Macaca mulatta: one gene and its partner. The protein of the gene in region 1 purifies or fractionates together with the protein of each later gene. This does not show direct contact. Links are inferred from orthologs where the notes say so. Each region holds a gene or a part of one and is shown on either strand. Other genes may lie near its edges. The genes, in order: BAZ1B and MYO1C.

What was found.
Region 2: the proteins of BAZ1B (region 1) and MYO1C purify together in Homo sapiens (affinity purification with western blotting; 3 studies listed by BioGRID, with this or other methods). This does not show direct contact. The link is inferred for Macaca mulatta from reciprocal best matches to the Homo sapiens genes BAZ1B and MYO1C.

What each region holds. Positions count from the first base shown.
Region 1 is NC_133408.1:50,920,815-50,923,866, reverse strand, and holds the end of BAZ1B (tyrosine-protein kinase BAZ1B), read left to right. Parts: intron 1-702; coding exon 703-806; intron 807-974; coding exon 975-1,332; 3' UTR 1,333-1,347; exon of another isoform or gene 1,348-1,833; 3' UTR 1,834-2,411; downstream 2,412-3,052. UniProt on the Homo sapiens protein: Atypical tyrosine-protein kinase that plays a central role in chromatin remodeling and acts as a transcription regulator. Involved in DNA damage response by phosphorylating 'Tyr-142' of histone H2AX (H2AXY142ph).
Region 2 is NC_133421.1:3,017,669-3,021,482, forward strand, and holds part of MYO1C (unconventional myosin-Ic), read right to left. Parts: intron 3,767-3,814; coding exon 3,690-3,766; intron 3,248-3,689; coding exon 3,179-3,247; intron 3,078-3,178; coding exon 2,993-3,077; intron 2,894-2,992; coding exon 2,734-2,893; intron 2,149-2,733; coding exon 2,065-2,148; intron 246-2,064; coding exon 152-245; intron 58-151; coding exon 2-57; intron 1-1.

The DNA of each region.
Region 1 (3,052 bases):
TCTTGAAAAGGTGCTTGTTTTGACAGATCAAATTGGAGTTAGGGGCTTAAGGCAGGCCATTGGGGAGATCATAGGGCATTAGAAGATGCTCGGTTTGCCCAGCCTTCACCCCTTGGGCTCTGTGTGGCCTCTGCTGTGAGTCACAGCTTTGTTATGGCTACCTGGAATGGAGGCCCCGCCCCTTTTCTCTTTAGCCACTTAGCCCTCACATGTCTACGTTGGAAGAGCCCAGGAAGGGAATTGGACCTCTTGCTTTTCTTCCCAGAGGCACCTCACCCCCACAGAATTGGCTGCTGGTGACCCAGATAGCCTGTTTGGCTTTCTGCAGTGGCTTGTTGATGCCCTTCCATGGTGTCACTGTAACCCCAGGTCCACCTGTTCTCCGAGAGCTAGTGTCCTGTTGACAGTGGCCCCCTTCAGCCGACCTCCAGTAGGACTGCTGGTGAAGACGGCCTCTGCTGCCTGCTCTCTGCTGCTTTGATTGCCATGGCCCTGCGGGGGCGAGCAAGTGGACTACTGGGAAGATGCCTGCCACCTGGGCCGAGGGTGCTCCCTGACTTGAATGTCAGAAGGTTTCAGCACCTCTGTGCCAAGGAAATAGTTGAACTCTTCCTTTTTTGAGCAGATACACTTATTTTCTGCCCTATGCACTCTTCCTCCTGTCTTGAATCTATAATAACATTGTTATTTCTTTCCTGCCAGGTGCTTCAGACCAAGCGGAGCTCCCGGAGGCAAAGCCTGGAGCTGCAGAAGTGTGAAGAGATCCTCCACAAGATCGTGAAGTACCGCTTCAGCTGGCCCTTCAGGTGAGCGCTGTGTTCTCAGGTGCAGGGGAGAGGAGTGGCCTAGCAGGTTCTAAAAGCTTCCAGAACCCCTGAGGGGCTCTCAGCCAAGCCCTTGCTTTTTAGGATGTGTCTTAGCATGGGCACTGCCGTCAAGGCTATGCAGATTCTCTATTTGGTTCTTCTCCACAGGGAGCCTGTGACCAGAGATGAGGCCGAGGACTACTATGATGTGATCACGCACCCCATGGACTTTCAGACAGTGCAGAACAAATGTTCCTGTGGGAGCTACCGCTCTGTGCAGGAGTTTCTTACTGACATGAAGCAAGTGTTTACCAATGCTGAGGTTTACAACTGCCGTGGCAGCCATGTGCTAAGCTGCATGGCGAAGACAGAACAGTGTCTAGTGGCTCTGTTGCGTAAACACCTTCCTGGCCACCCATATGTCCGCAGGAAGCGCAAGAAGTTTCCTGATAGGCTTGCTGAAGATGAAGGGGACAGTGAGCCAGAGCCCGTTGGACAGTCCAGGGGACGAAGACAGAAGAAGTAGAGAGGCAGGGCTGTGGTAAGGGATCTGAGGTGGGGGGACAGCGAGGGAGGGTGGGAGGGAGGTGAGAGAGGAAGACTGAGAACTCTGAAGAGATCGCAGGGAGTCCAGAAGCGCCCATCATCCCAAGCTTATGCTGTTTTTCTAACAGCTCTTTATGGGGCTTATTATTGGGTTGGTGGTCTTTGTCCAGAAATATTAAGGGACGAAGAGGGCCATAACCCTCCCTTCTGAGAGTTTCCAGGAGGAGTCTGAGGGTCTAGCTTTTCTGGTGAACCCAGTTCCTGTTCCTGCCTTCTTTCCTAAGGCCCCTCTCACTCTGGCTTTTACCACAGTGCCAAGCCCCTCTGGTCTCCAGGGGTGGGATTGCTGTGTTACATAGCAGGATCAGGGGTAATCAGGCCAACAGGGAAGATGGTGGCGATTTTTCTTTTTTAATCTGTATTTATATACAGTCTTGTTTCTTTAAGCCCATACTCTGTCTCTTCCCCGTCTTCCTCTCAGGTGACAGTATCAGTGAGTGCCATACAGAATTCTGTATTCACCAGCATCATGAAACAGTTGTGGTCTTTTGAGTTGATCTTGGCAGAGTAAAGGGACGTGTCCTGGAGCCATTCCTGAATCTCTCTCCCCTTCTTTGTGACAGCTCCCCTCCCCCAAAAAAATAAAAATAAGAAACCACAAAAAACAAAACTAAGGCACTTCACTTAGAGACTGGAGTCCTGCTTATAATCATGCATATAACCTTTACTTTGATGGATCTGGCCAGAGGGGTGTTGGAGCCCAGCCCACCCACATACCAGACAAGCTCTTAGGGGAGCAGAAGAAAAGCAGGAAGAATTTAAATGTTTAATTTTTTTTTAAATTGACTTTTCTAGTTATTAAAAGTTGCTTGTTTCAGCAGTGATATTGTATAAAGAACATCTTGTAAGATACTCCTGACATCTCGCTTTGGCACATGTACAGTACAGTTTCTATGATAATGTGTTTGCTCTAACTTCCCTGGCTTCTCCCTCAGCCCATCCACTCTCCTGCAGAGCAGTTGGGTTAGAGGCTCATCGAGGCAAGCAGCAACACTGGGGGCGGGGGCGGGGTGGGGCAGTGCCGCGTCTGCTGCCTCCCATGCCCTTTCTGACCTCAGACTTGGAACTCCTCAAGAACCTGAAGATTCCAGTGGTCAGTGTCAGTGGGGGGTGGGAGGAGAGAGCAACAGAGAAGCTCTGAGAGCCCCGTCCCACAACCAGTCTAGCTCTAGTTGTTATATTTAGGCAAAACTTTGTAGTCTTCTTTCCCTTTTATGATGGATTTTGATAAAAGTACAAAACAGGGTTTAATTTTCTTTTTTATCACCTTTGAATTTGGAAATGTTGAGCACCCAAGCTCTTCTGTACCTATTTAAATTAAAGTCCACCAAGGGGACTGCAGCTCCTAGAACATGAGAATCAAGCCTCTCAATATTAAACTGCGGAGTGTGGCCCCTGCTTTCTCCGTCCTCCTGCCCAAGGACGACGGGGATTGCTCCAGGGCTGCTGGGTAGTTTACCGTCCCTTCTCTAGGCATGGAGTTGGCACTGACATCACAGCTTCATAACCCCACCACCGCCAGCTTCCCCTGCCTCCTACATCCAGTCTGTTCTTGTTCATAGTGAGAATCCTGTGTTCCCACTTCAGTGACAACTGAATTGTTTGTTGTTGTTGTTTTTTTATTATTGTCTTCAAGGAGG
Region 2 (3,814 bases), on another chromosome or scaffold:
CCTGAATGGGCTCAGAGCCCAGGGCCTGAAGCACTCGGGAGCTGATCTCGTCTGCACCTGCAACCCAGATGGCAGGGAGGGAGGTCAGAGGAGGCAACAGGGGACCAGGACAATGACGAAAGGTCTGAGTGCTGGAAAGTCAAGGGCTCACCAAGCCGAGTGCTAATGAAGAGTCTGGGCACACTCTGAGGGTAATTATCCTTCTTGCCCTTGAAGATCTCACTAGCCACGGCCTTCTGCTGCAGCTAAGGAGACAAGGGGGGTGAGGAGAGTATCACGGTGGGGGGTACTATCTTGGGGGGCAGAGCCAGCCTTAGGACCTGAGACAGCCTCCCTCACCTGCTTGCTGGTCCCCCTCTTGCTCAGCACCAGGAGGTTGAGCCCTGCCCCCCACACTCCCATCAACCCCCCACTTCCTGACCCTCTGCCGCCACCAAACACTCCCCAGCGGTGTCATGAAGGCACTGCCGGGTTTTGAAACTAGCCTTTGGCCGGGCGCGGTGGCTCAAGCCTGTAATCCCAGCACTTTGGGAGGCCGAGACGGGTGGATCACGAAGTCAGGAGATCGAGACCATCCTGGCAAACACAGTGAAACCCCGTCTCTACTAAAACTACAAAAAACTAGCCGGGCGAGGTGGCGGCGCCTGTAGTCCCAGCTACTCGGGAGGCTGAGGCAGGAGAATGGCGTAAACCCGGGAGGCGGAGCTTGCAGTGAGCTGAGATTCGGCCACTGCACTCCAGCCTGGGCGACAGAGCGAGACTCCGTCTCAAAAAAAAAAAAAAAAAAAAAAAAAAAGAAACTAGCCTTTGTAATGTTTCCCCACCCCATCAGGCCCTGGTGGCCCTGAGACTCAGCTCCAGCTTGGGGTCTTCTAAGTAGCAGATCACTAATACTCAAGGTTACTAGAGGTTATCTATGCTGGGTGGGTGTTTTAGAATCATCCAGTACTGAGTTGGCAAAAACACGGCACATCAACCAATGCCTGTAATGAGGGCAAACATCACCAATCCATCCAAGTGAAGATGCAGACTTTTCAACACAGGGTTCTGAGCAGTCTCTACCAATCAAGGGCAGTTGGCCCACAAGGTGAACCCTATTGGCCACCCCAAATGTACTCCAGCGTCCACTTCCTACACAAGGCCCAGCAGGGCCTGGCATCCAACTGAGGTCGCCAGTAGACCGGGGTAAATACAGTAGACCAAAGAAACGACAGCAGACAGGGGTAAATACAGCAGACAGGGGTAAATACAGCAGACAGGGGTAAATACAGCAGACAGGGGTAAATACAGCAGACAGGGGTAAATACGGCAGACAGGGGTAAATACGGCAGACAGGGGTAAATACGGCAGACAGGCGTAAATACGGCAGACAAGCGTAAATACGGCAGACAGGGGTAAATACGGCACACAGAGGTAAATACGGCAGACAGGCGTAAGTACGGCAGACAGGGGTAAATACGGCAGACGGGTAAATACGGTAGGCGGGGTAAATATGGTAAACCGAGGTAAATACGATAGACGGGGTAAATATGATAGACAAGGTAAATACGATAGACGGGGTAAATACGGTAGACGGGGGTAAATACGATAGACGGGGTAAATACGGTAGACGGGGGTAAATACGATAGACGGGGTAAATACGATAGACGAGATAAATACCATAGACGAGGTAAATACGGGGTAAATACGGTAGGCGGAAGTAAATACGGTAGACGAGGGTAAATACGGTAGGCAGGATAAATACGGTAGATCAAAGTAAATACGACAGACGCGGTAAATACGGTAGGCCGAGATAATACGGTAGGCAGAGTAAATACGATAAGCCGAGATAAATAAGGAAGGCAGGGTAAATACGGTAGACCGGGGTAAATACGATAGACGAGGTAGAGTAGACCGGGGTAAATACGGTAGACTGGGGTAAATAGAATAGACCAGGGTAAATACAGTAGGCGGGGTAAATACGGTAGACCAGGGTAAATGCCCCTCTAGGCCAACACTCTCTGAGGAATGCCTGCGGTTCCCTGACTCCACTTCCTCATCCTCACCCAGCACCACTCTCCGTACCTGCTGCTTCCACTCAGGGCTGATGCTCCGGCAGTATTTCCACACCATGTTCTTTATGCACAGCTCCCGCAGAAGCTCTGAGGCCTGAAGGGAAGAGTGAGGTCAGAGCTCCTGGACACCCTGGGCCCTTCCCTCTGAAGACATCGAACATATGTTACCCCAGCCTTTGGATAAGCAAAGCCCCCTCCATCTGGACAATGCTTCCACTCCTGAGTCAAGAGACCTTACTCAGCAGGGCGCGGTGGTTCACACCTATAATCCCAGCACTTCGGGAGGCCGAGGTGGGTGGATCACCCGAGGTCAGGAGTTCAAGACCAGCCAGGCCAACATGGTGAAACCATATCTCTACTAAAAATAAAAAAATTAGCTGGGCGTAGTGGCAGGTGCCTGTAATCCCAGCTACTTGGGAGGCTGAGGCAGGAGAATCACTTGAACCCGGGAGGCAAAGGTTGCAGGGAGCCAAGATCGCGCCACTCCCTGGGTGACAGTGTGAGACTCCATCTCAAAAAAAAAAAAAAAAAAAAAAAAGAGAAACCTTACTTTTCACTGCCCAGCTCTGGTCCGGGCCCTCCGTGAGCCCCTCCCTGACCGATCCTTTGGCCCCAAGAAATCAGACCCTTCTGCTGTGTACTTTGATGGTCCCTAACTTGGCAGGGGGTGCCCACAGACCTCACGCAGGGCAGGTGGGGGTGTGGGCCAGGAGGTGTCCAGGACATTCCGGGGCAGCTGCCGCCGCAGGTTTAGCAAAAAAGAGGTGCGCACGTGGTCCAGGAAGAAGGCGTTCTCGGGGCAACGGGGCGCGTGGCGCAGGATGAAGCCTCGGATGAGCCTGGGGTCGGGGGCCAGACAGGGTTGAGGGCGAGGAGGCTGGTGGTGAACCCCCCACACGCCCTGCTCTGCAGCCCCCACAAGGCACCCTGGTGCTCACCGCCGGATGGTCTGCGCTGCCCACTTCCTCTTGGTTGCCTTCCTCCGGCCCAGCGTTCCACGCCACCACGACTGGATGCAGATGGCTGTCGTGGAGACCACAGATGGCTGACCTCCATCTTCTTACCATGGTGGCCTCCCCTGGCCCCAGACCCCGCCCCTCCTGAAAACCCATGGGCCCACGAACCTGATCGCTTCACCCGGAGGAATTTCTGCCGCCAGTGAAAGCCCCTCCAGGCAGCTTGGATCTTGGTGGCTGCAGTTGGGAAAGAAAGGCAATTGGCCAGAGCGCGGGGAGCCAGCTGGGAGCCTGGTGCCGTCTGCACTCCATGAGTGGCATGAATGGGACAGTGGCCGAAGGAGCCAGCGAGCAGCAGAGTAGTGAAGAAGAATGAATGTGGGGACTGCCCGGAGAAGGGGGGGCAGTGGGTGCGATGGCGGGCGTGAGGCTGGAGCTGGTAGGGAGGGGGTTCCAAGTCAACTAGTGGACTCCCTGGAGGAGGACTCCCTGGAGCTGGGTGTGGGGCTGGGGCTGGTAGGGAGGGGGTTCCAAGTCGACTAGTGGACTCCCTGGAGCTGGGTGTGGGGCTGGAGCTGGTAGGGAGGGGTGGACTCCCTGGAGAAGGAGCCCAAGGGAGTGACTTCCCTGCTTCCCGGAACAGACCCCGTGCGGCAGGAAAGGTGGGCTTCTCTCTCACCTAGGCTCTGCCGCCGGACCTCCAGGGCATCCTCTGTGGCAAACAGGGTCTTGGGGAAGCGGATGAAGATCTTGGTCCTGGGAAAGCAGCAGTGATCAGCCTGGGGTTGCCACCCCTATTCCCCG